4 linked regions of the Drosophila melanogaster genome follow. The protein of the gene in region 1 interacts with the protein of each later gene in a pairwise test. Each region holds a gene or a part of one and is shown on either strand. Other genes may lie near its edges. The genes, in order: RpL3, CG4896, Vlet and Hecw.

Region 1 (7,890 bases):
TGAAGTCATTGTAGCATGTGCGGCACTTTTGCAGCTCTTCCAACTTTTCCTCGCCCGAAAGTGGATCCAATTCCATGGTTACAGTTTCCGATAAATACACACTATCCTGCTCAAATGAAGTAGCCTCCGGGTGGATTAGCTTGGCCTCCTCCTCCGCCAATAGCTCAGCCACTAGCTCCTGGTTTCTGCGGCGCTGTGACCTCTCCTTACGGGCTCTATCCGATCCACTTTCCTGGCTTTTGTTCACGCAGGGAACTGCACCTGGTCGCAAAGTGCGCTTTTTTGCCAATCCTGAGCGAAAGACAAGGACTCAGTTGGACATTTTTAGCGGCTCACACATGGAACTCACCCATTTCGAATTTCAGGGATCCCTCGATGTCCTCATCCTTGAAATGTTCGATGCAAATGCAGGGATTCTTCAATTTCAAGGACTCCTCCGTGTAGCCGCAGAATGCTAGCCAAGCCTTAAACGTATCCGGGCACTTGGGGAAGCGGAAGAAGCCCAAGCGTTGCTGCTGAGCCGCATTCCTTTTGGAGCGGCAGTCAGAGAAATTTCGGCAATTGGGCACGGCACATCGCATATTTTTAGAATAAAGTGCGCAATGTTTATATTAAATAATCCGGCAGTGTGACCAAATGTTGCGCTGCCACGATGCCAACAATTCGAGGTGGTTACATCGATGACGTCACAAAATGCAACAGTTATTTGAAATTGCAAAATTCAGAAAACTACGTTTATTTGATGTTCTTACAAAAACTCTGCTTTATTTAACCCACAAACACACACACACACACTGTATTTCATTAGTAATTGAAAAAAATGTAATTTTTTTATATCAGAATAGCAGCATTTCGCAGTGATAACGTTGTATTCTTTTATTTGATTTGATTTTCTTGCGAACCAAGGAAAACTTTTGGGTAATAATGGTAGCGCATTTCTATGTCCACTTAGTATTAATCTAGCGAAAAATACAAGTATACGTACATGGATAAATACATATGAGTAACTAAGCCTAAACTACACGATAAATATATATTAAGGAGCGCACGATGAGCAGTGGAGGACGGCACTAGTTTTTGCCCTTCTCCACACGGCCCGCCTTGACTCCATTGAGCTTCGGTTTGGTCTCCTGCTTGGCGGCGGGCTTCTTGGACTTCTTTTTCTTCTTCTCGAAGGCGCTGAAGTCAACAGTGTCGGAGTCGTCCTCGTTGCCGTACTTCTCCATCAGGCGGTCCATTAGGGAGCCAAAGTTTGACTCGCGCTGATTGCGACGTGCCAGGATCATTTGCTGCAAATCGCCACCGTTGTCGGCTAAATCCTGGTCGTCCTTCTCCTTCTGGCGGCGCTTCAAACGCTCCTTGATCACCTTGGCCTCCTTGAATTCGCGCGCGTACTTCTGGTGGCGCTTCTTGCGCTTGGCTGCCGGCTCCTCGGTAAAGATCTTGTACTCGGGCACCTCGCCGCTGGCAATCATATCCTGAACGATCTTCTGAATGCGCGGCTCGTCCTCCACCTTCATGAAGGGCACATGGTTCATCAGATAGTTGATGCAACCCTTGCCGCCCAGATACGCCTTTTTCAGATCGGTGCGCTCCAGCTCCGATTCCACATACTCCTTTTCATAGTTGTTGATATCCTCCTCGGTGATGGGCTTGAAGATTTTGCTCCACAACTCCAGCCACGACGACAGCTTGGACTCGCTCTCATCGTCGTCGTCGATCACGCCCTGCTCGTCGTACAGCGCCCGCTTCTGCGTGTCGGTAAGCACCTGGTAGAGCTTCGATAGCACCTTGAACTTCTCGGTGGACTCCGCCTTCTGCTCCTCCGGCACTCGATCGGGATGAACGAGCAGCGAGAGCTTGTGGTATGCCTTCTTCACCTCCTTCTCGCCGGCGCCCCGGGCCAGCTCCATTAGCTTGTACACATCGCGCGTCCCAAAATACTTTTCGCACAGCTCCAGCGTCGACATTGCTAATTTCGTATTTTGTATTTTTATTTTTCGCACCAACACTACCAAACGCAAAATGCGCCAAAACGCCGCGCCAGTGTGGCGGTGCGTGGGGCAGACAAAAATTCCTTTGTTTAATGGTGCGAAAAAATCTTTGATTTTCCTGTTTACAGCAATTTGGTTATTATTTAACAAGTAAAATGGTATTCTATGAATTTTGTTTTAACTATTGATAATTTTTGAGAGCCTGCGTGATAAGTAACAAAAATAAATTGGAGAATTGAACATTTCAGTGCTGCACAACATTGCATGGTTGGTGTCCCAACTAAAAAGTAACCCGTGTTAAGAACGTATGAGGGTGGCATCCCTCAAAATCCATGGCGAGCAGTGTTACCGTACTGCGAAAAGTGACCTTAAACCCATCTCAAAAAATATACCAAACGTGTATTTCTCAGCAAAGTTACCACTGGGCACACTACACACTATATAACGAGACGGAAGTCGGAATCGTTTCTTTTCCGTTTTACACGTCTGAAGAGAACAGACATGGTGAGCATCTCGATCGGATAAAATAAATTATATTACTATGTGATGTGTCAAAAAGATGGATGATTGCAAGTTAAATAATTGATTAGTTTGGAAACAGTAGCGTTATAATCACTCTAAATGTAACTAATACAAACAAAGCGTAATTTTAATGCATAATTTGCACTTGCAACATCCACGTGTTCACCTAACCTCAAAGTGCAGAAACGCATTGTGCTAATGGATTTTCTCCATTCATTTTGCAGTCTCATCGTAAGTTCTCGGCACCCCGCCATGGCTCCATGGCCTTCTACCCCAAGAAGCGCTCAGCTCGCCATCGCGGTAAGGTTAAGGCCTTCCCCAAGGATGACGCCAGCAAGCCAGTCCATCTGACCTGCTTCATCGGCTACAAGGCCGGCATGACCCACATTGTGCGCGAGGCCGATCGTCCTGGCTCCAGTAAGTACCAGCATCCACCTCTATCAACTAACAACTACTTTCCATGATGAGTATACTAGAAGATTTATGGTTAGAACACATATGATTAACCGTGATTATCTCAACTAGGGCGGACTGACCAAGCCCACTCTGTAGATGATTTCTCTTAGGGAATACCATTACTCGGTATTAATGGCTTTTCTTTCTCTTGCAGAGATCAACAAGAAGGAGGTGGTCGAGGCCGTCACCGTTCTGGAGACCCCGCCCATGATTGTGGTCGGTGCTGTCGGCTACATCGAGACTCCCTTCGGTCTGCGTGCCCTGGTCAACGTTTGGGCCCAGCATCTCTCCGAGGAGTGCCGTCGTCGCTTCTACAAGAACTGGTATGTATCCGAGGACCACGTGGTCGTTCTTCCTACTCCATTTGTCGCCATTTTCTTTGCACCGGGTGTACACACACACAAAATGGCAGCCGACACGTGCTTTCTACTCGAGTCTGGATGATGAAACGATGGTATCTGAATGAGCAAATTATTGTTGAGAAGCCTTTTACCATCTGCTGCCTTCCTTCTGATCGGCCTCTTAGAAAATAAGCGATTGATTTTGCTGCAATACAATATCTATTGTTTTTTGAAGTATAAATCAACCAGTGCGCTGTTTTGTGTGTGTGCGAACTTCCGATCAACAGTGATTCCCTCGTGTAATATAGACCCCTATTAAATGTAAAACAAAATCATAAAGTTCTTCGATCAGCTTGCTGAGAGAGCTTTTCAAATCGCTAAACGTTGTGTGAGCTGTCAGGTTAATCTTGATCATGGGGCGCACAAGCAAGCCCCTGGTTAATTGAAATTGCCTGACGAGTGAGCATGACAAGGAAGACTGCATCTCCGCTCGCCATTCGTTTGCGATGAGGCGCACTTCCTGTTCTATCTCGCCCCACATAAACAGCGCGGCTAAGAAGTTGGAGTTGTTGCGACACCCCAATGGATTGCTACATTACGCTCGTTTCTGACCACTGCGTCTCCAACTTGACCATCGTCCATATCAGGTACAAGAGCAAGAAGAAGGCATTCACCAAGGCCAGCAAGAAGTGGACCGATGATCTCGGCAAGAAGAGCATCGAGAATGACTTCCGCAAGATGCTGCGCTACTGCAAGGTGATCCGTGTGATTGCCCACTCGCAGGTAAATATCAATTTCAATTATGTATTCCATATTTCCCGACGTCCTTGGCCTTGTTGCGCCACTGGTGCTGGGTCCTCGGGCTCGGTGCCTTTGGTGCGCCTGGCCTAAAAAGCATTCGCGCTGTGGTTTTCAATGCACGGTTTAGGGATGCAACGTCGCAGAGCAATCTGCCCCTCGGGTGGCGGGACTTGATATATTCCAGTAACGGTGCGGAGCCGTTCAGGCGATGATAGCGCGGTTAAACCATATCACGTACAGTCCCAATTTCCAATACCACAAGGTGGATGAAACTAACCTGTTGTGTACTTTTTCTCTATTTGCCTGTAGATCCGCTTGATCAAGCAGCGCCAAAAGAAGGCCCATGTCATGGAGATCCAGCTGAACGGCGGCTCCATCGAGGACAAGGTCAAGTGGGCTCGCGAGCATTTGGAGAAGCCCATCCAGGTCAGCAACGTCTTCGGCCAGGACGAGATGATCGACTGCGTTGGTGTGACCAAGGGTAAGGGTTTCAAGGGTGTCACCTCGCGTTGGCACACCAAGAAGCTGCCCCGCAAGACGCACAAGGGTCTGCGCAAGGTGGCCTGTATTGGTGCCTGGCATCCGTCGCGTGTGTCCACCACCGTGGCCCGTGCCGGTCAGAAGGGTTACCACCACCGTACCGAGATCAACAAGAAGATCTACCGCATCGGCGCTGGCATCCACACCAAGGACGGCAAGGTAAGCACCAGTACCCATTATTCCCACCATTCCACTTTAATCGGGCTGTAGAAGAAATCTGTTTTTGTGATGATAAAACCTTAAAAATAATATCGACATCGAAACAAAAAAAACTTGATGAACCATGATATTTATAATGATAGGACTGATAACAGATCTTCAGCTACATAAGATTAAATCCTGAATCCCCCTGCCGCAAGACCACAGTAATCTGATCCAGAATGTATCGCTTTGCTTTTGCAGGTCATCAAGAACAACGCCTCCACCGAGTACGATCTGACCGACAAGAGCATCACGCCCATGGGTGGCTTCCCCCACTACGGTGAGGTCAACAACGACTTCGTCATGATCAAGGGCTGCTGCATCGGCTCCAAGAAGCGCATCATCACCCTGCGCAAGTCCCTGCTGAAGCACACCAAGCGCTCTGCCCTGGAGCAGATCAAGCTCAAGTTCATCGACACCTCGTCCAAGATGGGTCACGGTCGCTTCCAGACCCCTGCCGACAAGCTGGCCTTCATGGGACCGCTCAAGAAGGATCGTCTCAAGGAGGAGGCTGCCGCTACCACCGCTGCTGCTGCCGCCGCCACCACCACCAGTGCTTAAACAAAATGTCGTGTCCGCGTTCAATTGTCTGCTCGCTTCTACCACCAACTGCTGCGGTAGGGCAGCGATCAATAAACAGATTTTGGCTAAGCTGACTCATTAATCTTTTCAATTGCATCTAATGGGAAAAGACCACGTCACAGATTTTACAATCGATTAATGTTGATTAGGAGGTGGAATCATTAGTTTATTTCTCATGATAGTTTAATATATGTACATACCCAGGCTAAATTGTTATTTATTATACCTCCTTAGAGCTAAAAGTAAAATAATATTAGGACACTAGTAAATAGTTTATCTACAATAAAAGAGTACCACCAAACTTAAACACTCGTAGAACATTTATAGCAAAAGAGATTAGAAATCGCCAATTGAGTTCGATGTGATTTGCTAGAATAATTGGGTGTCCTCCGGATCAGCAGGTTAGCATCGTAGTTCCTACGGAGAGCATTGCTACAATGCCACTGACTCTTGGCAACTGATTGTCCGTAGTCTATAGTTCTGCTTTTATATGACACTCGAGTATGGGTAAACTACTCCATCGTGACCAGACATTCATGGGAATGCAGCTGTAACAATACTTGGCTACAATTCCTCTCCGGTTACTTGGTAAAAACCCCCCACAGCTATCCTATAAATAGGGTACTTTGGGTAGCTAAGCCTCAGTCCAAAACCAACGCTGAAGATGGCCATTAAGTCTCTGATTTTGCTTACTTCCCTGCTGGGAATAAGCCTTGCAGCGGACTATTGTGCTCTGCCCACGTGCCTGGACAAGCACATAGCCTGCAACAACAAGGGAGTAAGTAGTGATAGCTGGCCAAAACCTGTTGGTGCTCACCCATTCTCGCCCAGAATTTCAGTGAAAATTGTCCCAAGGACGTGCGTGAGGTGAAGATCGAGCCGCACCACAAACTCATCCTCAATCTCTTCAACGAGTTGCGCAACAACGTGGCTGGAGGCAAAATAGAAGGACTACCCAAGGCTGTTCGCATGGCCAAGATGTCCTGGTGCGAGGAGCTCTCCCATCTGGCCTTGCTGAACGTAAAGACCTGTGAGTCCCTGCCAGATAAATGTCGCAGCACCGAGAGATTCGCCTACGCCGGCCAGAACAACGCCGTGTTCCAGTACAGCGGAGCCGAGACGGAGTACACCGATGCGGAAATAATAAAGGAGCAGATCGAGAACTGGTTTGCTGAGCGCTCGAATGCATCTCCCGAGATCCTCGCCAGCTTCCCGGAGGAGCTTCCCAACAAGGCGGTGACCAAGTTCACCATCGCGGTGGCCGAGAAGAACACCCATGTGGGATGTGCCGCGGTGCGCTTCTCCCGGGACTTTTACAACCACTTCGTACTCACCTGCAACTTCGCCACATCGAACATTGTGGGTCAGCCTGTCTACACTCCGGGAGAGAAGGCAACCACCGGGTGCAAGAACCGTTATGGAGCTGCCTACGACTACCCCAACCTGTGCTACGCCAAGGAGATCTACGACAACGAGAAGGTCATCGAGAACACACAGACGATGTAGGCATGGAATGGACTTCGATTGATGGGACAATGGAATTTGATTAATATGTAACATTTTAGTTTAAGAGTGCTAAAAGAATAAATTTTAATTATTTATGTTTGCTGTAAGTAACGGATTTGTGCTATCCAAACAGCTGTTTGCCCAGCAAGTGGGCAGCCCCCTTTATACACCCTGTAACTGTGGATAAAGTATTCCAATTTATTGGTGATAATTAAAAAAATATACCTTTAAGAATACAGTTCTTAAATTCAATTATATTTGTCTACAATGAATTTAAAATTATCTGTGTGCTAGAAACCCTTTTAATAAAACATCTAGCGTTTTATATAATCATTTGAAATTAAATGCAGGGTATCCAGTGGTCACTACCTAATCAGAAAACATTTCATTTATTTTTGTAGCAACTTTTTCGCCGGCCCAAAATGTTACGCGAGGCTCTTAGGATCGGCAACAGGCGCTGGTACAGCTACAAGTCCGTCCGTCGTCCGAATCTGGGCGCCACAGGTACTCCAAAGATGGAGCCGCCAAAGGAACAGCCGGAGGCGTCCTCCAAAGCGGAGAGCGGACATGGCAGCCTGGCCAAGCAACTGAGGGCCAAGATTCTGTCCACCGGACCCATTCCTGTGGCCGAGTACATGCGCGAAGTGCTGACTAATCCCCAAGCTGGCTACTATATGAACCGGGATGTGTTCGGCAGAGAGGGCGACTTCATAACCTCCCCGGAAATATCACAGATCTTCGGAGAGGTGAGATAAGCACATTGATCAGAACCTGTCATCATAACATCATATCCCTTTGCACAGCTCGTGGGAATTTGGCTGGTGAGCGAGTGGCGCAAAATGGGCAGTCCCTCGCCCTTTCAACTTGTGGAGCTCGGTCCGGGTCGCGGCACACTGGCCAGGGACGTGCTGAAGGTGCTCACCAAGTTCAAGCAGGACGCCGAATTC
Region 2 (9,749 bases), on another chromosome or scaffold:
CCCTCAATATTATTATAATCTTCGGTCTTACCAAGGAAATGACCAGAGCAGATGTAAGCCAAGCAGAAGAGTGGCAAATGCAACTCCTTTAATTACTCATGAACTAACTTTTTTTTTAGATTATGAGCGAGCTGATAAAGGTGAACATGGAGCCAGCGTGCATTCGCATTATCCGGAAGCAGGGAACAGGTGGGTTACGAAATCACTGACTTTGTTCTTTCAGCGTCAGACGTAAGTAGGTCCAAAAAGTTGGAGCGGCTTCGCGCTAATGGAGGCGAAGTGTACAAGTACCAATCGAATTTAACCGGCCACATGAATCGAAAAGAATACAATAGTCCACAAAAATGTTACAAACCTATCGAAACATTCAACATTTTTTGACGAAAACATTTTGTATCTGCTTCTATCCGAAAATTTAGATTCATCACGCGGTATAGCGTTTGTCGAGTTTAACACCGTTGAGGAGGCAAAGCAATGGATGGATATTACACAGGTATCAGCGCAATCGACCAGATCCCCTTGAAACTTTGATCATCATCAGCAGCCAAGGTTGTTCGCAGGCAATGATAATAAGGAATTCCTCACTGTTTAGCTTGCTTTGTCCAACTAAAAGTACTTATATGTAGTTGCAAGGAAACTAAGCACGAGTATAGTATTGCTTCATTAGAATTGCCCAAGAAAGCCACTCGAGGAGATTGCCAGCGGCTAAAACTTCGCGTTACGAAACACAGATGCAATCCGGTGACTGTGTAGAGTGTGAATGAAGGCATCCTAGCGATCGGTTACTAATCCGCAACCTTTCCTTCTCCTATTTCCATGTCTGGCGCACCAGGGCGTTCTGAAGTTAAACGACGAGCGGGTGAGCATGCGGTACAGCCACAAGCGAATTCAGGACTGGAACTGCAACAAGGTAGGTGCACTGAGATGATCATATTCTTAATGGCGAGTAATGTGTTTCGCTTGTTCCAGTGTGGCGTCTGCAACTTCAAGTTTAGATTCTATTGCTTTGTGTGCAAAACATCCCGGGAAGACAGCGAAACCACCTTCTCCTCCGGTAGCGAGGGCGTGGACGAAGTCAGCACCATCCTCACCAAAAGTATACAAACCACATAGACTCTCTTGCCATCTCGTTTTGTAGCTTCGATCGCAATGAAGTCCAACAGACCACTGACCGCCACGATTTCTCTACCACTTCCCCAATCCACGCAGAGATCATGCTACGCAACCTGGACGCCCTGACCAACGAAGAGGCTGTGCTCACTGCCCTCCAACTTCACCTAAAGGATCTGAGCAAGACCGTGAGCAAGGTGCTAATTAGTCGGGATTCCTTGACGCAGGCATCGCGTGGAATTTGTTACCTTCACTTCGACACTCTTGTCGACTCGATGAATGTGCACAATGCCTTGACAGCGCTGGATCCTCCACTTACCTTGGACGACAGAGTTGGTATGTGGCCTTAGGTGCTTTTTATAACTTAAATAATAACCAATATTTCATCCAGTGGCCATTACCTATTGCATCGACTTGGAGGAGCAGCAAGCATTGCCCAAGAACCCTAAAGAATTGGCAGTTAAAGATTCAACTGTCAATAGCGGGAACATTTCAGCAGTTTCGCCCTCAGGATTGGGTGGAAACTATACTCTGGCCGATGTGCCACGACTCGCTGAATATAGTGCCTCCCTGTACGCTTCGAATCCCGCAGAGCACGCTTATTATGTCCAGTACTATACGGAGTACTACACGGCAGATATAAACAAAAATAACAGGGATTCCCATTTGACGGAAGCCAATTCCGGAGCAGCGGTTGCCCTCTCGGCCATCCAGCGCAAGCAGAAGAAGATGAGCAGTATCGAGACCACGATCACAGCGGCGGCCACAGCTGCCGCACAGGCAGCGGCGCAAGTGAAGGCCACATTGGCTGCTCAGGTGGCCAGTGCGCCCAAGGGCAACGATGGAAAGATATACCGTATGTCGCCACTCACTTGAGTATGCTAGCATTTTATTATGTTTCATTATGTTGCAGCCACTCCCGATGTGACGCAGTACCAGTATGATGAGACATCCGGCTACTATTACGACAGTACCACGGGTCTCTACTACAATGCCCACTCGCAGTACTACTATAACAACGAGACGGGCGCGTATCTTTACTGGGATCAGCGCAGGAGCACCTATGTGCTGGCCACGCCCGCCTCCACTCAGGCAGCTCTGCAGGAAGTCCTGGCCGACGCCGAGCAAAAGGGGGAGGAGGAGTCCAAAAAGGCGAAGGAGAAGGAGGGTGGAAACAAGCACGACAAGGTTAAGGTGGCGAAGAAGATCGTCAAGGACATGGAGAAGTGGGCCAAGCAGCTAAACCAGAAAAAGGACTACACAGCTGTGGCCACGCCACAACCAATATTGGCGAACGAGGTAGCCACCACTTCGCGTGGCAATCAAGGGGGATATGCTGATGTGGGATTCTCCATTCTCGAGAAGAAGGAGAGGGGCAAGTTAAACGACTATGCGCCAAACCCGACTGTGGGTCCAATGAACAAGCTTGTCAATGCCTATGGCGGAACATCGGACTCTGAAGAGGACAATGCTGCGAGTTCGCAAAACACACAGAGTTCAGCGGTTGTAAGCGGCGGAGGAGGTGCTGAAGAGTCCGATTACGTGGACTTCCATAAACTGACATGCCTGCTCTGCAAGCGTGCCTTCCAATCGTTGGAAATACTCCAGAAGCACTTGAAGATGTCCACTCTGCACAAGGAGAACCTGGCCAAGCTCAATCAAAACACTAGCAGTAGCATCGAAGAGGCACTAGCGTAAGTGAAATCGCGATGTGTGGTGGAGTATATTATCATTGAATTCATATTCTTTCCCAGCTATCGTGATCGTGCCAAGGAGCGCAGGCTGAAGTACGGCGAGAGCGATCCTCCCCCACCAAATAGGAGCAGGGAGCGATTCGAGCAGGAGATCAAGACACTGCAGTCGCGGCAAAAGCAGTCTACTAGCGCTACTCCAGCCATGCCCATCAGTTCGAGCAACGTGGGCAGTCGACTGCTCCAAAAGATGGGTTGGTCGGAGGGACAGGGACTGGGCAGGAAGAACCAGGGACGCACCCAGATCATAGAGGTAACTGAGCTGACGGCAAGCTATAAAATGAATTAAGAAAATTAAGCATTTTGGGTTCCCTCAGGCGGACGGACGCTCCAATTACGTGGGCTTGGGCAACAAATCGGGACAGATGATACCGGGCAACGACTACAAATCCTATATAAAGAAGATGATGAAGCAGCGCTACGAGAATGCTTGAGAAATTGGTTTTTAGCCGTTTCACATGTTTCATTTCAACTAAAGTCGCCGTTTAATTCAGCTTTTCAACCGAAGCAAAAATTATTTCCATATTATATATGAAGCTTCTTGAGCATTGTTTTCCTAACAGATTGGCGTTTTTTTAAGTCCACGAGCAAGTGTGACCGTTTAGTTAATAGTTTCTGATTAAGCGAATTTAAATCCTTTTTCGAATGTACAAAATAAAATGTAACGGTGTAAAGTTTAAATTTGCTTGGTGTTGGGAAACAACTGTTAGCTGGCACTTGGTAGCCCTGGAGCTATCGGTCAGTTATCGATAACTGGCAGTCAGATACTTCGGGTGAACGGCAAAAAAGAAGACCGAGAATTTTTCTATTCGGGTTTTTTTTTTTGGCCGGATAACTGATTGTTTCTGCCTGAATGCAAAGAGACTTCCAGTTCGGGAACAAGTTTAACCAGCTTCCAATCCTGTTACAGTCGTGGTAACCAAGTAAGATGTGCGCACATAGACGGTTCATCTAATGGCAAAAGGCCAAATCACAAACACTGCATTTAATTACAATCGATTCGCATTAGATATGGATTCTCGATATGGTCACAGCTTCTCGGGCGGCAACGGAAACGGCAGCGAATCGGGCTACAGACGCTACAGTCGCTCCCGATCCCGATCCAGGTAGGTAGTCCTTTGTCCACCTGGAGCCTCTTAGTGGATTACTACCAATTGCGATTATTTCAGGGAACGAAGTCGGGACCGCAATGAGTACAGACGTCGCAACTCCCGTTCGCGCAGTCGGGAGCGGTCCTCACACTATAGAAACGACCGCAGTCCGGATCGCGATCTGTACCGCGACCTGATCAACGAGGATTACGAGGATCAGGGAAACTACAACTCGAGACAGAACCTTGACCAGCGCCACGGCGAGGACAAATACGATCGTCGGCATGCTGATAGCCAGGGTCGCAGGGATCACGATAGCAACTACGACAAGAGTGGCCAGGATATGGATAAGGACCGCGATCACCGCTGGAAAAACTACGATCGCGTTTCGAGAGAGCGCAACCATGATGACTTCGATCGGGGATCGGAGCGCAGCAGGTAAGAAATGATACATATTGCATATTACCCATATCGTGCTCAGTGTTATCACTGAGATTAAGATTAAGCTAAGTTCTATGTTTCCATTCACAAGGCTTCCATAAGAAGGAGGACTCCTCTTTCACTAGTTTAAAAGACCTTTCATTTGCTAATCACTTGTAATAAAAGTCAAAATAATTAGAAATCAACCCATTCAGTAATGTACACTTCCCTTTGTTCGCATAAATGCATACAAATCATCTTATGAAATATTCATGCTGGATGCCTTTAATTACAGTGGATAGTATGCAAACGATGGTTTCAAACGAACCGAACGAAAATTTATTCGACAAAGTGCTCATTGTATGACCTTAAAGAATCGCTTTCCTTTCAGCCGCAGCAATGACCAGCGGCAGTTCAATAATAATGGAAATAGTAACTCCAGCAGCAGTTACAGAGATCGCGAGAAGGAGCGCGATCGAGATAGACGGTGTTCCTCGGACGAGGACAGCGACATGGCCAGCGAATTCAGGCAGAGAGGTGCCTACAACAGTGGCAGCAGCGTTGAGCCCTTGAACAACATAATCCTCTTCGGTCTGAAGAAGCACGTCACGGAAGCAGACGTAATGTTTAAGCGATAAGCAGAACGAATGTAAAATTAACCAAGTAATCCTCCACAGATCATGGGCGAGCTGATCAAGGTCGACCTGGAGCCCACATCCATTCGCGTGATGAGGAAGCAACAAACAGGTGGGTTACATTTCCGTGTGTTACATTCGATTTAAAGTGAAATTGTAGAGAAAGCGTGAGTATTGCGTGCCCAGCAACATGTTCGATGTAGGACTTATAGCAATTTCAATTATACTTGGCTTCGACATCAGCAAAAACATATAGAAAACTACAAACCGAAACAAAAACACAATCCCCAAAAATGACACAATGCTAATGATACAACCAACATTTTTTGACCAAACATTTTCGTATCTACTTCTATCTAAAATTTAGGTGCCTCACGCTGTTTTGCATTTGTCGAGTTTAAAACCGTTGAGGAGGCGACTCGTTGGATGGAGTTAACCCAGGTATCCCTAAAAACCACAAGAATCTTGAATCTTCTCGTATCCGCCAAAATAGAAATGACGGCAAGATCCGATAGCTTGGCATCAACTGTTGAAAAATGTGTGCCTTGAGTTCAATTCTGCTGGTGGGCTGCCTGTCCCTTCCATTTTTCTGTCTTAGATCAGGGAACTGAACTCAAAGGCGGAATCGAATCTTACGTAAAGGAAGCAACCAGCATCTGCGTGATGTCGAAAAACACAGATGCAATCTTGGTGACTGTGTAGTCTGTGAACGATTTGCCTGATCAGCAGTTTCAGTTACTAATTCCAATTTTACCTCTTCTATTTTTCCGTTCAGGGAGTCCTCCAACTGGGCGATCATCGTGTCACCATGCAGTATAGTCACACTCGCATCTCAGACTGGACTTGCATTAAGGTATGCTCCGTTAAGATACAGATTGGCAACAATAATTAGCTTTTTTCGCCATCCTTCAGTGTGGTGCCAGCAACTTTAAGCGCCGCTTCCAATGCTACATGTGCAATGCGTCGCGGGCGGAGAGCGAGAATGCTCTTTACGGAGCCGGCGAGGGCGTCGACGAGATCAGCCAAATCCTCACAAAAAGTATATCCACCATGAGCAATATCTTTCAATGCCGTTTCCTAGCTAATCAGCTAAATACCCCACTAACCTGCCACGCTTTCCCCATGCAGAGATCATGCTTCGCGGCTTGGACGCGCTGACAAACGAGGAGGGCGTGCTAACTGCCCTTCAGCAGCGCCTGCCCGAACTGGCCAAAACAGTCAGCAAGGTGCTGGTCAGTCGCGACGCCCTAACCAATGCATCTCGGGGCATTTGCTACCTCAATTTTGACACACTCATTGATTCTATGAACGTGTTCAACGGGCTGACGGCGTTGGATCCGCCACTCACTCTGGACGACAAAACAGGTAAATTATTACTTCTTAATTATTTCATAATTAAAAAACAAAACTTTAATCCATGCCCTTCAGTTATCGTCACCTACTGCATTGACTCCGAAAACCGTCAAATGATGCCAGCCGAAGGCAACTTTTTTAGAGCAGGTGAAACAGCGATGTCTCCGTCGGCCATTACGGCGGCCTACACTTTGGCGGATGTGCCTCGTCTTGCGGAGTACAGTGCATCCGTGTATGCCTCGAATCCGTTGGAGCATGCTAACTACGTCCAGTACTATACGGATTATTACACGACTGAAATAAGCAAGAACTGCAGAGATCGTCAAGTGACGGAGGCCAACTCCGGCGCTGCCGTTGCTCTCTCGGCCATCCAGCGCAAGCAACGGAAGGTCAGCCAGATGGAGACCACGGTTTCGGTGACAGAGGCGAAGGTCGCCTTCCTTGCCAGGGGTGAAAGTGCTCCCAAGGGGAATGATGGCAAGAAATACGGTAAGTGAGCGCACACTATTCTATCTATGCGCTCCTGTAATGTCGAATATTTCATGCTCAATGGTTAGATACTCCCGATGTGTCCAAGTACCAGTACGACGAGACCTCCGGCTACTACTACGACCACGTTACAGGACTCTACTATGATGCCCACTCGCAGTACTACTACAACAACGAGACGGGCGCGTATTTGTACTGGGATCAGAAGCGGAGCACCTATGTGCTGGCCACACCCGCTTCCACTCAGGCAGCCCTCAAGGAAGTATTAGCCGATGCCGAGAAAAAGGAGGAGGAGGCCAAAAAGGCAAAGGAGAAGGAAAAAGAAAAGGAGGAAGCTGGGGGGAAGCCCGACAAGGTGAAGGTGGCCAAGAAGATCGTCAAGGACATGGAGAAGTGGGCCAAGCAGCTAAACCAAAAAAAGGACTACACAGCAGTGGCAACGCCGCAGCCTATCCTGTCGGATACTGAGGCGGCCACCACCTCCCGTGCTTCCCAAGGGGCATATGCTGATGTGGGATTCTCAATCCTTGAGAAGAAGGAGCTTGGCAAGCTCAACGACTATGTACCGGAGGCAGGACCTCCAGCGATAAGCAAATTGGTTGGTGCTTATGGAGGACCTTCTGACTCGGAAGATGATAATAGTGCCAATCAGAAAGCACTTGAAGCTAGCGTTGGGACTAAACGAGCCATTAGCGATGAATCTGACTACGTGGACTTCCAAAAACTTACTTGCCTGCTCTGCATGCGTGCCTTCCAATCGCTGGACATCTTGCAGAAGCATTTGAAAATGTCGAATCTACACAAGGAGAATCTGGACAAGCTTAAACGGAATCCCGCAGTTGAGGCTGGCACGGATGAGGGTCTATCGTAAGTGGGAATATGCTGCTAGAATGGAGATAAACTCACTAATTTACTTACCCGTACTTAGCTATCGTGATCGTGCCAAGGAACGCAGGCTGAAGTACGGTGAGAGCGATCCTCCTCCACCAAATAGGAGCCGGGAGCGTTTCGAGCAAGAGATAAAGACTTTGCAGTCGCGCCAGAAGGATTCTTTTGGCGCCACTGCAGCCATGCCCATCAGTTCGACCAACGTGGGCAGCCGCCTGATGCAGAAGATGGGCTGGTCGGAGGGCCAGGGACTGGGCAAAAAGAACCAGGGACGCACCGAGATCATAGAGGTAGGAGTCGACGAGGGCGACGAATGGCAAAATATGGATAATTCAATGTCAATGTGTATCCACAGGCTGATGGTCGTTCTAACAACGTGGGGCTGGGCAACAACACTGGCCATATGGCGCCTGGGAACGACTACAAATCCTACATCAAAAAGATGATGAAGCAGCGTTATGAGAACGCCTGAGACTCTTCTTAAAGTGTATGATTTTATTCCGCTTGAATATAGGGGCATTTAAGCATTGTTGTTTACCTCGATTACACTTCCTCCACCTTGTCGCGTTCATTTAGCATTAGTTGCGAAGTTCAAATTGTAAATAGTTCGTAAATACAGTCTCAAATTAGGTTTAAATTTAAATTGTAAATGCTTTAAGTATGGAATTGTGCAAGGGAATCTAAATCTCGTCCATGTAGCCATGCTCATAGGCGTGACGAACGGTCTTGAAGATCTCCTGGTTCGCCTCATCGCCAGCGATGTCCAAGGACAACTGGTGGAAGGCGGGGCCGTGCATATCCGTCTCGAAGAGGCGGGACAACTCGGCGCAATCCTTCTCGGTGCCGAGCAGCCAGGGAAGGAAGTGCATGCATACCATTGGTCCGTAGAAGGCATATCGTTTGAAGTGGGCATTGAAGCGTTCGAAGCTGTATTCCTGTAGCAACTGGTCCACCCGATCGTCGGTCAACTCGTTCCGGTTTCGGCGCAGAACCAGTTCCAACATTTCGATCATGCTTCGATGGTACTTGCGCAACAAGTCGGCGTAGATCTCCTTCCTTCCTTCGGATGGCGTGTTCATGTACATAAAGAAGCTCAGGTCAATGGCCGTAGTGCTGAAGCGCAGCTCCTGGAAATCGATGGCTTTGATAGCGTCCACCTTATCTTCAGCGCCGTAGTGGAACAGCACGTTGTTCCTGTTGTAGTCGCCGTGCAGAAAGGTGGCAAAGTGGCTGTCCGGTTGATCTTCGGCAAAGGAGCTGGTGCGGATTCTCTCCAGCAGGAGAGTTGGCTGCTTGAAGTACTTCTCCCGCAGTCGCTCGATGGCGGCCCCGAATCCGGGGTCTGCCCCCTGGAGGAGCTGCTCCTTTTGCCGGTCGTAGAACTCGTAGAACCGATCGAAAGCCACGCGATAGAGGACATCAAAGATGCCCTTTCCTGAGCTGGACACGAAGGGCATGTCCACCACTCCGGCGCGCAAACGAGCATGAACGTTCGGCTGGAGGATTTTCGTGGCGTAGCCCAGAGCATGGAACGGACCCACTAGTCCTACCATGGCCTCCAGCTGATCCCGTCGAAGGGTTAGCCTTGGCCCCAATTGGTAGCCATCGCCCTTGAGATGCTTTAGGGCCAGCACCGATTCCCTACCATTCCCTAAACCTGCAGAAAAGTAAACATTCGATGTAGTCATGGATAAAGTCTTTGTGGGATGCGCACCTTCAACGTGGCCAAACCTGGCGAAGTAGCAACAGGGAACCCAGTTCTTTACCACTTCGCTTTCCAGGTGACTCGTCCGAAGCACATTCTCATAGGCGGGCAGGATCTCGGCGTAGGCGAAGATCTCGTTGGAAAACTGGATGTACGAGTTGCTGCTCTCCCGGAACTCTTCCGTTCCCTTCATGAATTTGACCAGGACGACCTCCGTCCGCTTGCGCTCGGCGATGACCACGTCCAGCGTAACGGTGTACAAGGCGGACATGAAGCCGTCCAGTCCATTGGAGCACTCAACGCTGTG
Region 3 (5,988 bases), on another chromosome or scaffold:
GGTGAAAGTATTCCAGTTTGTCCAACCACCACTCACCTGCAATTGCACCTGGAGCTGCGTTGGCTTCTGCCAAAGCCCCACAACTGCCATCGGTGGGCGAGGTGATGGACGCCGCCTGGGTGCGGGCCACGTTCGTTTTCCGGCGCTGGATGAGGTCCTTCTTCCACTGCGGCATGTCCGGCAGGAAACCGGAAGTGGGCGACATCTCAGCTGCAGCTCCCAGGCCAGATCCTCCAGCTGCTAATCCTGCTGGCACATCCGTGTGTAAGTCCAACGAAGGCCGCTTCTGTGACTCCATTATCCCCGTCTGCAATAGGCATTATTCGCAGCATTAATGCATGTCAGCCGTGTCCGCGGTGTCTGTATCGCAGTAGTATCCCCTATATAGTGTGGCACACTATCCAGCTCTACATCTCGACCCAAAGACCAAGTCTGGCGGACTGACTGGCCCGAAGCTGGTGCCAATTGCAAGTGCCCGGTGCCCAAGCTCCTCTACGAAGCAAAGAGGCGGGCATAGCCGACCCAAAAGATTGGCCAACCATGCAAATTATATCCAATTCAAGAAACTATCTCAAGATTCTCAGTTTACTCGACCAGTTTTCGAGATGAACCAATAAGTGAGGGTATAAATATATTCTAATAGACAAAAGTACTGTTTTTTCAATATATGTATATTACATGAGAAGGGGAGTAAATACTTTAATATACATTTAACAAAAAATAAGCTACGATAAACACAAGCTGAAAATGAAATATTTGTCATTGCAGCAATTATTTTCTGCTTATGTAGAAATTTTAATAACAAAGTCTAGATAAAAAATTGAATCATTTTTATAAAATCGCAGCCTGTAGAAATCTAAGTTAATAAATAATAATAATAGTTATGACTGTAAAACTCGCAGCTGTTAGCAGAAATTCTATTTCAACAAGTGTATGGTTCTATAATATATTTATAATTTAACATTTATCTTGGAAAATAAATAAGATGAATATCTTTTGAGTAGATAAAAGGTGATTTCGAATTCGTGGTGGCGATGGCATTTAGAGTTTTATTTTTCTTAATTGGATTAACTGCTGTTTTTACAGCCCGACAGCAAAACAAAACGTAAAACAAAGGTAAGAAGCGAAGAAACCCCAATATTTTTCCAGCATAAATATGCTAAACTGCCATAATGAGCGGAAAATGCGATAAAACCGAATATAGAGAGGAAAATAACGGAAAAGAAAAGCGGGGAAACTGAAACCAAACGATTCTTTTTATTGTTTGGCTAAAATTGATTGCATGGCTAGATTATTGCTGTTGGAATTGGAATTGTTTCTGTTTTTGCAGCTTTGCCTTTTGCATGCCGCGATAAAAAGTATTATTTTTAATTTCCCGTATCAGGCGTATGCATGTGTCTGTGTGTGTGTGTGTGTATGCATCACACGACTCCGCCGGAGAGAGTGTGAGTGTGTGCAAGGGTGGCTGAAAAGGGGAGAGCGATAAAAAGGGGCTGCAAAATGCAGACGAAGCATAAAATAAACAACCGACGACGCGCTATCGATTTTTACGGCATGCTGGAAGCACCAGCACACTGATACACACAGTTTGCAGAATAGGGAAATAAACTGGAAGTTATGCTATGCCAAATTGAGTTTTTTCAACAAAAATTCCTCGCAGAGAAACGCGAAACGAACTAGTGGAAGACTAAAGAGCCGGGTTTTGTTTATTTACACAGGAACAATACAATCGCACGCAGCCAAAGACACACATACGTATACCACATACACATGCATATATCCCGACGCACTGTTCCGTTAGTTTAGTTGGGGTTTTTGTTTTTCTCGGGCTTTCGCTGAAACCTTAGCTTGAAATCCTTACTTTTAAGATGCTGACTATTTTTTATAATCGGTGGTTGGTTTTGCTTCCAATTTTCCGATCCCGAGTTCCGTTTATCATCCGCTCCGCTGCGCCTGTTTACCCCGCTTTTACACTTTTCCGTTTCGCTGTAGCTCAACGAACTCGTCGCTCTCCTTGCTCCGCGCACTTGTCAAGCTTTCCCGACTGCAACTGCACTCGAACTCGGGGCGTGGGTGCACTCGCTGCGCCTTAAAAGTGCATCTTTCGCAGCCGAATCAGCGGAAAAATCTGCATTAAGTTAAGCCGCGTTTCCAATACACAAATACTGCTTATCGATTGTTGGCGCTATCGAGCGGAGCATCGATAGGCATCAGCGGAGTTGCCAGGTAGGACGATTATATTAATGAGTTGGAAAACTATTCGTACTTGATAATCTTCTACAAATTGAATCGTCGATCGTCGGTGCCGTCGACAATCTGGTATTGATATTTGCTGGTGCGGCTTTTTTTCACGAATTTTATTTTGCAGGAAACATAACAGCAAATATTATTTAAAACATTGTAATTTTATAAGGTAAATTATTCAGGCCTAAATACAGAAAAATAAATTAATTTAATAAAACATTTAAATCTAAAAAATTAATAAAGAATATGTTTAAAATCACATCGCAAAATGTAATATTTTTGTATTTTAGTCAGCACTTACCGTTATTATTGGCAGTAGTAACTGTGTGGCAGCACCGCACCGTGGCAAGTCGATAGTTTTTTGTATATTGTTGGTCTGTATAAACAAATAATATTAAAGTCATAATAAAAGAAGTGCTGGTAAAGACTTAATAACTCTATGTTCCTTAAAAATTTTTAAATATATCTCACAATGAGCATTAACTGGATAAAGATCACGGAAAGGTATGTAATATCAATGTTCTTATAGAGATTAATTTCTTGCATTTATATCTTAGAGCCCGTGAGGGCATCAAAATCATCAATGCCTTGCCCTACGAGACCTTTACGACGGTTCTGTTCTACACCCACCGGCAGATGAGTCCCAGCGTAGCATCGGCGAGTGCCACCAGTAGTACAGTGGGCACCAGTGTGACGACCACCGGCCGGGTGGACAGCAGCACCGAGGAGAACCCCACAAGTAACACCGAACCGGAGTACACACTCGAGGAACTGGAGCGATTGGTGGGCGTACCGCGTCAGGACTTCCTGCTGCTGATCAAGACCTTCTCCTACATCCTGCGTCGCATCTCCACGTTTATCATCAAGCCAAGTTTGCTGCAGCGTGAGCTGCGCGAGAAACTCCAGCTGGAGGATGAGGCCAAGATCGATGCCATATTGCGTTTGTGGGTGCGCGAAACGACGCCCATTATGAACAATTTGGCCAGCAAGCGGTACGAATCAAATGTCATCGAAGATGTGGCCTGGAAGCTCAACATGGAGATCTCCTCGCATTGCCAGCAGCGGGAGAAGACCCCGCTGGCCGTGCTCCAAATGAAAACGGCCGTCGGCGAGGATATCAACATCGAAATGACACAACCGGAACTAATGGAACTGTACAATCAGTTCGAGAGCATCCAGGGCGAACTGGACGCCATGCTGGCCATGAAGACTACAGGAGCAACGGCGCCTGGCAATCAGTAGTGGGACGCCATCGACCAATTCCAGTGCCAATTTTATTGTTGATTCACACAAAACTCTGTGCAAAAAGATGGACCTAAAAGTATGCAATACTAACACGATCGTAGCCAAATGTTAAACACGTTTTTTTTTGTTTAATTCAGTAGGGTTTTTCCTATGTTCTGGCTAATTTTCCGAACGTAGCCAAATTTTTACTAGAGTAAGAGTTCGGCTTTGATTTATAAAACGTTGCAATGATTAGGATCTTCCAAACAGGACTAGTTTTTAAGTTTTAGAACTTACCCTCTGCAAAATAATAAATCCTTTAATAAATTTAGATAAAACAATGTGTGGCACATTTTACAGTACACTTTAATGGATCTCTGCATGCGTTTTACTCGTCTGCTCCACCTCGGATCATAATTCTACTGATAAACATTACAAATTATTACAATGATATATATTTAATATATGTCTATATTGTATATGCATATGTTATTCATCGGCCTTAGTATGCGTGTGTGTGTGTATAATGGAGTCGTATATTATGTATGCATTATACAGACTTTCTAGTTTCATCTTCTCAAACTTTTGCATAATTATGCATATGTATTTATTGTTATTACGGGAGGGCGGGGATTTTGGGTTGCTTCGTATTCAAATTAGGGGCTTCGTTGTATTTTTCACTAATCTAGAAGCAAAACGATTTCTATTGCACTCTTTCACAGTTCGGTTAATCATTTCAACTAAGTTTGGACAAAATACAAATGTATGCAAATTATTTGGACTACAATTTTCATTAAAATGTATTGCTATTGTTACATTTAGTTGTCGTGTGTGTAGGTGTTGTTATCATTTTTCCTTTTTTGCTTTGGCACCGGCTCCATTAACTAGCCCTTAACTTGGTTGTTAGTTAGTCTTCAGTTTGCGTGGGATTCTGTTTAATTATATTGGTTTTTCGTGTAAATGATTATCGCCTTTCGAAATGCGTTGGTCATTTGTTCCTGTTGTTCTATTTGTGCTGTCTGTTTTTGAGTTGTGTTTCCATATGCACTTCATTTCAATTTTGTATAAATAAACCAATAAATAAGTTCTTTCGGGTTAGAAAATTTAAATGATCATTTACGCAAGCACTTAGAATCGAGCTAGGATAAATAAAATTACACAGTGTTAAACTATTTAATATATACAACAATTTTATCGATTCAAGCTTGCTGAATTTCCTTTCGCTGTGAGTAACATCGCATGCCGATTAAATCAAGTGAATATGGAAACACGACTCTTTTCTCATTGTGTGTTTATGTTTAAACATTAACTTCGGTGTTTTTCATTACTTTCTGCTGATTGGATTGATCACCAGAGCCCGCTGTATTTGACCTATATAAGTAATAAGTGTGAGCGCCACGTTCAAATGAGGAGAATGCAAGGTGGTGTTCGATTTTTTAAATAAAAACTTGATATAATTAAACAAAAATCAATGTAGCACATACATACACAGTTTACGCTTTGTAAAAAGTTACAAAAAATTTAAACACAAAACAGACATAAAAAAAAAAATAATACGAGAAACTAAAAATTGTACACTACATCTCCGACGGTTGCAGCAAAATGTTTTAACATTTGTTTAAAACTATGTAACTCAATTATTGCATTGTGTTTTTGTGTGAGTGTATGAGTGTGTGCGATTTATAGTTAGTTTAGTTTAGATCTAATATTAGGTATATGTTTATCAAGTATTTATATATATAATAATATAAAAAAGTAAACATTTAGCGCTTTTAGTTTGCTACAAAAATTTGCTCGTCTCGCTCACATATTTCAACTAACATTAGGTGTACAAAAAAATTGGAAGATATATAGTTTATATCAAATTGTGGCTAGCGTAAAAATACAATCAGTATTCCAGTATTTAGTATTGCCGTCGGTTTGAAGCGGCAATTGCGGTTACATTGTACGCCGATTCCTCGTTATCTTAGATATATATATCTTTATATATATATAAAATGTATAAATTGATGCGTGTTCGTTCTGTTTGGCGAGATTGCTGCATTCCCATTCGATAGATCGCGGTGTAGAGTATATATATATATATATATCCAGTAGTATCCAGTGTAGTACACATATATCCAAGTATAATATCAAGCGTTGATCCTCCTCCGCGCTCTCTTCGCACTTCGTCCCTTAAGTAAATAATAATGTAGTTGCCACAAGATGGTTGGGTTCTGTTGGGTTGGGTTGGGTTTCCATTCGGTTGAGTTGAGTTCAGTTGCTTGGTTGGCTGGCTGGCTGGCTTGGATTGGCTGGAGTATTGGGTTTTGGAATGGCTTTACATGCCCGACTCTGCAATGCCCTCGTCATCTGAAAGAGAGTCAAAATGGCACGGTTAGAATTGTACGATGAGTACAAAGCAAAAGCTTAGCACATGCACGGGGTTAGAAAACCATAAAGGTGGCATACAATAAATGAAAGTAACAAGTAATCATGCAGGTAAATAAAAACAATCAGGAAATATACAAAACATCTACG
Region 4 (7,366 bases), on another chromosome or scaffold:
TCTTGCTCAGGTCCCTCTGGACCCTCCGGATGATAGATGACCTTGTAGGAGCCACGGATCGCTTTCACCATTCCCGAGACCAACTGCTCGGTGATATCCATAATGTCAGCGTAGTCGGCATACGCCATGTAGAACTCGCACGTGGTGAATTCAGGATTGTGGGTGAGGTCGATGCCCTCGTTGCGGAACTGCCGTCCGATCTCGTACACACGATCGAGTCCACCCACCACCAGCATCTTGTGATACAGCTCCGGAGCAATGCGCATGAACAGATCCATCTTGAGGTCATTGTGATGCGTCACGAAGGGCTTGGCAGTGGCTCCACCGGCGATCATGTTCATCATGGGCGTCTCGATCTCCAGGAAACCCAGACGATCCAGGAACTGACGCACGTACGAGATGATCTGCGGGCAATGGGAGTAGTTTTTGTTATATTCAGCTTAAACTCCTTAGTTCAATTCATACCTTGGCACGGATCTGGAATTTCTCTCGCACATTGTTGTTGAGAATGAGATCAAGATAGCGCTGGCGGTAGCGCGTCTCCTTGTCCTTCAACCCGAAATGCAGATGGGGCAGCATGTGTAGACAGGGCGATAGCAGCTTGATCTCGCTGGGCATAACGGACAGTTCACCCTTCTTGGTTTTGCCGGGATGTCCGACAACGCCGATGATATCACCACGTCGCAATTTGGACGTATCGATTTCGAAATCCGCCTCCGACTTGTAGGACTTAGCGCTGGCCATCACCTGCACCTTGACGCCCTCGCCGCGCAGATCGTAGAAAATGAGCTTGGCGCCCGACTCGCGTATGGCATGCACGCGCCCAGCCACGCTCAGTTTGACATTCTCCAGGGTCTCGCCCTCCTTGAGGCTGTTCTCGTACTTGGCAATGAAGTCTTCCAGCGAGCTACTCACATGGAACTTGTGTGGATAGGGATCCGTTGCGGGTGAACGTTTCAGCTCCTGAACGGCGGCGGAGCGCAGCTTAAAGTATTCATTCGGCGAGATCTCCTCCTCCTCGGCGGCACTGCTCTTCTTCTTGCCAGCAGTATTTTCCGCCGGCGCAGCGGCCGCCTTCTCAGCCTTCTCCTTGGCCTTTTGCTCGGCCTTCAGGCGACGCTTTAGCTCACTGTGGACGAAGAGAAACAGTTAGGGTATTAGCAGACAATGGAGATGTTGCCACAAGGCTGTTATAACCACGCATGGATATATATATATATATATCCAGCCTGGCCAACGGTGCGTATTAGTAACCCACAGTTTGGTCTGCTTGCTTGGCTCCATTTGCGGAGCGCTCACGTGGAAACCGGCGGCAAGTGGCTGAATTCCGGTGTATCTGCATCGGGGCCATGACCCCTGCACGGTTCTAAGGGCGCAGCGGGCGAACATGGTTATTTTAAGCAGCGTATTTCATCAGCAGAACTGCACACATGCAACATAAATAATGCGAACTGGAACGTTGCCGCTTCGCCCTAACCTACAAGTGGGGCAGCTACGTTGACCGGATTTAATGCTTGCGGTCAAATGGATACGCTTTGAAGCCTATGGCACTTACTTCTTGGACAGTTCTCCACTTGCAGCGGCCATGCTGATGCGGTTACGTTGTTCGCTGTTTAATCCCGGGGTCTCAGAAGCGATGGAAACCCAAAAGAAATGCGAATGCGAAAGCGCCACAAAAGTAAAAAAAAAAAAGTACACGACCAGCGCTGCCAGATGGGCATAAATCGATGCAACTGGCTTTGCCGCACCAGATGGCCAGTCTGGCGCGAGGGCATTTTTACGCCATTGACATCTGGTCACATTGCACTAGACCCGAAATATATATTTTATTTAGCTTTTGCAATATCCTTAAATTAACAATTGATCAACTAAAGCCACGGCCTTGCGGGCAGTGAGCACAGCACAGCACGGCCCAGAACTGGACTCAATGGCTGGAGGACGCGAAATGCTCCGGTCGGAAGGCAGCAAACATCAGAACGCCAAAGTAGAGCAACTGCAGCTGTAACTGTAACTGTTAACCCTGGGTTGGTCGCGGGGGCGGGGTGGCAGTGGTGGTTGTGGACCAGGAAGAGGAAGAGCAAGGGTGCTGGGAAAGAGGAAGAGCACATCTTGAGGCCAGGAGGCAAACGAGCCAATGGAGCCACCAGCTGCACCGGTACCCCTACAGCCACTGGCAGCATCTTCCGCCTGCCTGGCGGACAGGAGTCCAGTGGATCCCATTGCAGTCAGACTGCAGCAGGAGGAGCAGGCAGAAGGAGATGACGAGGAGGAGGAGGAGGAAGAGGAGGACGATGATGATGATCCCAAAGAAGAGGAGGCCTTCTACGAGGCGCGCAACGGCAACGAAAGTGACGAGCTGGAACAGGCCTTCCAGAGTGCCCTTACCCTGACCAACGATGTCCATGTGAGTGTCAGCGAAGTGGAGGAACATGAACCGCCCTTGGCATCGAGAAATCAGGAGGTGGCAGAGGTGGAGGAGCAGCAGCAGCAGCTGGGGGCCTGCGCACTGCCGCAGCCCAGCGAAGCCTGTAAGTAACTTGAGACTGACGAGCGAGTTCATCCACTCATCCACTTGGTTCTCTTAAAGCTCTTACAGGCTCAAAGGAGACCAGGGAACCGCGCCACCACCAGACGCTGCTTTCCACCAAATCTTGCGAGACGCCGGCCAATAATGCCACGCTCTCGCCGACCAACTCCTACAATGGCAGCATTGGCAGCGACGGCGGCAGCAGTGTGGGCGGTGGCGCCCGCCGCAAGTCCTGGACCCTGTCGCCGCAAAGCGGTGGCTCCACGCCCCTGAGCGGAGCCAAGAAGAAGACCAAGACGGGTGCGCCAACCACAACACTGTCCAATGCTAATGGCGACGGTTTTAATCTGTGGGTGGCACGTGAGTGCTTCGAAACAGTGCCCGCTGAAATGGTGGATACTCTGAGCATGGCTGAAGTGGACGAGGAGGTGGATGAGGAGGAGGACGAGGAGGCGGCTGCCGTGGAGAGTCTTCTGGGAGCCGCTGCTGCCCTCCAGGCCAGTGCCCATGTGCAGCGCCGTCAGCAGCAGCAGCATCACCAGCATCTTCGCCAGCCCTCGCCACCACAGCATCGTCCGCTGGAACGATCTTGGCCGCCGCGTGCCGTTGGTCGGGATCTGAAGCTTCAGGGCGATGTCTTTCAGTTCGACATCCTGGACACGGACGAGCGACTGGCCGAGGAGATGGCACAGGGCAGTGGGAGTTCGAATAATTCACCCCTGGCCACGCCGCCTGTGCGCTTTAAGCCGCTGCTGAAGAAAAAGATTGGACCCGATAGCTACATCAACACAATTAGCACACAAAAGGTGCCGGTCCACCAGAGCTATGAGTTCCCCACCTTTCCAAGTTCCTCGGCAGTTGGATCGTCATCTTCGTCGCCGAATAGTCTGCAATTTCCGTATCTGCGCCAGCACCGTCCGCTCACCCGTGCCCTTTCCAATGGCAAGGCCAGTTCATCGGAGGAGCAAGCCTCCCCACGCCTTCTGCTCTCACCAAAACGTCCGCGAAGTCCTCCTTCCGGTTGTTCCACGCGCAGTGCCTCTCCATTGGATATCAGCCTGAGTCCAGAGCAGCACTCGCCCACCAGAGGCAGAGGAGTGGGTGGTGCTCTGCAGGATGCGGTGCCGCCCGGAACTCCAACATTCCATGGTCAGCGACCGCAGCAGCGGCTGCTCAAACGTGTAGGCGGTGGAGCAGGAGCTGGTGCTACGGGAGGCGCAACCGGCTCGCCATTGGTATGTCCACCAACGCCTACTCACCATGCCCGTCGGCATGCCCGCCTCCAAGCCGTCACTGCCAATTCCAGCCTCGCCAGCGGAGGAGCGATCCCCTCGGATCCGCCAGCCGTCTCTAGTCAATTGGATTACATATATCTGCAAGATGGTGGCCAGGAGCAGGGTCAGGAGCAGTCAGACGAAGTTGTGCACATAAGCAGCACCCGCCTGCCCTCCATTCCAGAACGCAGTGCAGCCGCAGCAGCGGCGGCGGCGGCAGCAGCAGCTGGAGCCGCTCTCATGGAACCCGGAACGGGTACGGTATCCGGGTCTAGTGGAGCTGGAGCCGCTGGAGAGCCACCATTGCCGCCTGCTTGGGAGGCGCGTATGGACAGCCACGGACGCATCTTCTACATCGATCACACAACGCGAACAACCTCATGGCAACGACCAGGAGCGGCGCCAAGTGGAGGACCAGCAGGCAGAGAGCAACATCATCGCCAGCAGCTGGATAGGCGGTATCAAAGCATCCGACGCACCATTACCAATGAGAGTAGAGCTGCGCAGCTTTACAACCTGCCAACCTCGGCGAATAGTAATGCCAATTCCACAGCTCCAGCTGCTCCTCCGCCCGCCACGGCTATACATCCAGCCATCCTGATGCTCTGCCGCCCGGATTTCTACTCCCTACTGCACACCAACGAAGCTGCACTGGCCATCTACAATCGCAATGCCGCACTAAAGCACATGGTCATGCGCATCCGACGCGATCCGCCGTGCTTCCAGCGGTATCAGTACAACAAGGATCTGGTGGCGCTGGTTAACACATTCGCCCAGATGAGCAGGGAACTGCCCTCGTGCTGGGAGACCAAGCTGGATCAATCGGGCAAGCAGTTCTTTATTGATCACCAGCATCGTCGCACCTCATTCATGGATCCTCGTCTGCCGGTGGAGTGTCCTCGTGTGGTACGCCATCGCCAGCAGCATTCGCAGCAACAGTCCAGTGTGGGCTACTACTATCCGGATCTGGTGGATGGCAACTGCCTGTCCGCCACCAGTGGGCATATTAACGCCAGTCCAGCATCATCGGTCTCCGGTGTACCGCCCTTACCTCCACCGAGACCCTCATCGTCGTCCTCCTCGTCCAGAAGTAGCCATGGACATGGCCACAACTGCAACACAACGTCAGCCATCTCCTGTGCCCTCAACGCCGACCGTTCGGCGTATGGTGCCGCTGGAATGGCCAGCGCTGGAGCCACTGCAGCCGGGTACGAAGATGTGCCCATCGCCTACAACGAAAAGGTGCGTTTCGCGTTTCGCTCGTTTAACAAATGTAAAATCTTGAACTTTCCATTGATTACACATATTTCTTTTCAGGTCATTGCCTTCCTGCGCCAGCCGAACATCCTGGAGATCCTGCGAGAGCGCCAGGGCCAGCACACAATGTCCCGCCAGTTGCGTGAGAAAATCAATATACTGCGAGTGGAGGGTGTTCCCGCACTCGAAAGATTGGGCCATGACCTACAACTGACCATTTTGCTGAGGTGAGTGATCTGATTGCAATAGAAACTACTAGATCACTTAACATGACTATGGATCGTAGCGGAGATTATAGATAGATTGATATCGTCTATATCCAATTCTTGTTCTTTTGCTAAGTCGAATTATACTCGAATTATTCCGCCAGCCAGACAGTTGGAGGTAAACCCTCGGAACTGGCGTGGTGCTAATGAACCCACTGCCATATAGTCCCGCTCACATGACGCACCGTTGGCCGTCAGGCAATGGCTCCACCTGCACTTGACGAAGGTCCCACACCAGGCTAGGCCGTATCCATCTGGCCTGAAATTGCATTGCTGCGTCATTTTCTTGGCTCGAATCAGTTTTCGGTTTTGATTTGTAGCTGCTGGCTGATTCGGTTAGCTTCAATCGATTTTGGCGGCGGTCCTGGTTGAGTGCACCGCATATGAGTGCTGCTAGTGGGTTTAATTGTTTTTGAAAACCGTATCGAAGGTCGCTGGCTAATTTTCCAAAACGCCAAACGCGCGTCCAACAATGCAAGCGGACTAAGCCAACTACCAACGGCAAGGCAAGGCTAGCACTTTGCCATCGTCTTGGCTTTTAATCCCATTGCTTATTGTCTAATTGACCGTGTTTATGCGAGAAATAACACAACGAAATCAATGTACATTTACCACAAAAATTGAGGAACTGCAGCACGTCAATTCGCAATGTAAGTTGCGCTGACCTTAATCTTAATCCCAATCTCGGCGGCAACAAAATGGAAATCGATGTTGAGAGATTAAGTCGCCGCCCCTCATTCTCCCAAACTGTCGATTACTACTCCACCGTTGCTGGCTGGCCACCAACCATTCTGATTCCCATTCCGATTGAGCCATTTAATTGCATTTCAATTAGCCAAATTGTCGCGCTTCATTGGCAAACGAGTGGTGGGAGTTTTTACTATGCAATCGTATTTATTCGAGTGCGAATACTTTGTACATCTGGTTGTTAAAGTTGTGGTAATCATAATAAATTTGGAAGAATCCTGCGAAAATTTGACGCAAGATTCCATTTAATATCTTTAAATATTGCTGAAAATCAAGACGCTTCCTAAAAATTTATAATTTGATTGTATATATTTTCCCCTAAATGAAATCCACTTAAAAACAAGCAAGTTCAATAGAACTTTAGGCAATGATATGCACTACATACAAGAAAAAATCAAGTAATAAGTAATTTGATTAATTGCCGTTTTGTTAATTAGTTCAGCACCTTTTTTTTTAAACGAAACGAATGAGTTAATTTGTAAGTTCATTTAAAGCATATTGCATTGCGCATAGTGACACCTAACGATCTGGTTAGCGAAAGTATTTACACAATCTTTTGCAAGCGATCGCAAAAGTCGGGTAGCCGTCGCACATGTCGCACTTGGTGTATTGGAAATACGGAGCGCACAACTCCGCTACCGAGATCAGAATCCGCAGCCTCAGACAATCTGCACTTGGCCATTAGTCATCCGAGTGGCGATGAGGCAACACCTCGCCCACCCAGCGCCATCCCCCTTTTTTTTTTTTTTTCATAGTTTGAGCAATTAATATGCCCAACAACAACAAGAGTCAACAAATACACGCGTTTAGTTATCTACACATTTCGCCAGTTGGCTAAATGCCTAAATGCTTTTGCCGGTGAATTATAAATAGCTGAGTGGCTCTTAAAATATATACATATGTATGTATGTGCATATATATATGTATGGGTTATATATGTATATTTATTGAGCGATCTTGGGGCATTCCGACTTTGCAGCAGCCACGCCTCCTTTTCGGTGGCAGAGCAACGCCCTTCAGCTTTAGCAGCAGCTGCCCCATAAATTCCGCAGACGCCCCACTAATCCGCTAATGCCCCTCGCCCGGTTCACAATTTAACCCAATTCCAAATCAAGCATAATTTATAGCAACTCCAATTCGAATTTTGAGTCCCGTCCGATTCTAAGTTTTTTCTTTTTGCTTAGTTCTTATTTTTTTTTTTCCGGCGGAGGTGTGGCTGTGCCGTCATCTTCATCAGCAAGTTGTGCTACCTCATAATCATAATCATTATCATTATCATCGGCACCCTCGCAAAG

Evidence for each region.
Region 2: the proteins of RpL3 (region 1) and CG4896 interact in a two-hybrid assay, tested with the Drosophila melanogaster proteins (one large-scale study listed by BioGRID).
Region 3: the proteins of RpL3 (region 1) and Vlet interact in a two-hybrid assay, tested with the Drosophila melanogaster proteins (one large-scale study listed by BioGRID).
Region 4: the proteins of RpL3 (region 1) and Hecw interact in a two-hybrid assay, tested with the Drosophila melanogaster proteins (one large-scale study listed by BioGRID).

The regions. Positions count from the first base shown.
Region 1 is NT_033777.3:11,219,435-11,227,324, forward strand, and holds RpL3 (ribosomal protein L3), read left to right. Parts: upstream 1-2,459; 5' UTR 2,460-2,495; coding exon 2,496-2,498; intron 2,499-2,740; coding exon 2,741-2,933; intron 2,934-2,970; exon of another isoform or gene 2,971-3,126; coding exon 3,127-3,295; coding exon of another isoform or gene 3,296-3,416; exon of another isoform or gene 3,417-3,609; intron 3,610-3,653; coding exon of another isoform or gene 3,654-3,705; exon of another isoform or gene 3,706-3,960; coding exon 3,961-4,096; intron 4,097-4,136; exon of another isoform or gene 4,137-4,356; intron 4,357-4,423; coding exon 4,424-4,813; intron 4,814-4,873; exon of another isoform or gene 4,874-4,966; intron 4,967-5,056; coding exon 5,057-5,416; 3' UTR 5,417-5,739; downstream 5,740-7,890. Other genes in the region: CG6689 (uncharacterized protein), read right to left, coding at 1-291, 350-581; CG6693 (uncharacterized protein), read right to left, coding at 1,071-1,970; scpr-C (SCP-containing protein C), read left to right, coding at 6,102-6,215, 6,269-6,943; CG17726 (uncharacterized protein), read left to right, coding at 7,366-7,689, 7,747-7,890.
Region 2 is NT_033779.5:1,174,078-1,183,826, forward strand, and holds CG4896 (uncharacterized protein), read left to right. Parts: upstream 1-3,612; 5' UTR 3,613-3,784; exon of another isoform or gene 3,785-3,870; 5' UTR 3,871-3,872; coding exon 3,873-3,967; intron 3,968-4,030; coding exon 4,031-4,390; intron 4,391-4,763; coding exon 4,764-4,992; intron 4,993-5,049; coding exon 5,050-5,119; coding exon of another isoform or gene 5,120-5,154; exon of another isoform or gene 5,155-5,374; coding exon 5,375-5,448; exon of another isoform or gene 5,449-5,782; coding exon 5,783-5,860; intron 5,861-5,919; coding exon 5,920-6,046; exon of another isoform or gene 6,047-6,135; coding exon 6,136-6,372; intron 6,373-6,435; coding exon 6,436-6,849; intron 6,850-6,917; coding exon 6,918-7,716; intron 7,717-7,777; coding exon 7,778-8,027; intron 8,028-8,092; coding exon 8,093-8,209; 3' UTR 8,210-8,377; downstream 8,378-9,749. Other genes in the region: CG4887 (uncharacterized protein), read left to right, coding at 1-53, 120-189, 420-493, 833-910, 970-1,096, 1,210-1,446, 1,502-1,966, 2,024-2,804 and 2 more; CG5126 (uncharacterized protein), read right to left, coding at 8,418-9,394, 9,452-9,749.
Region 3 is NC_004354.4:11,675,163-11,681,150, reverse strand, and holds Vlet (valette), read left to right. Parts: upstream 1-2,599; 5' UTR 2,600-2,716; coding exon 2,717-2,748; exon of another isoform or gene 2,749-2,801; coding exon 2,802-3,486; 3' UTR 3,487-3,807; downstream 3,808-5,988. Other genes in the region: bif (bifocal), read right to left, coding at 37-298. UniProt on the Drosophila melanogaster protein: Scaffold protein in the commander complex that is essential for endosomal recycling of transmembrane cargos; the commander complex is composed of the CCC subcomplex and the retriever subcomplex.
Region 4 is NC_004354.4:9,607,164-9,614,529, forward strand, and holds the start of Hecw (hecw ubiquitin protein ligase), read left to right. Parts: upstream 1-1,782; 5' UTR 1,783-2,134; coding exon 2,135-2,528; intron 2,529-2,587; coding exon 2,588-5,043; intron 5,044-5,118; coding exon 5,119-5,285; intron 5,286-7,366. Other genes in the region: LysRS (Lysyl-tRNA synthetase), read right to left, coding at 1-404, 466-1,129, 1,259-1,389.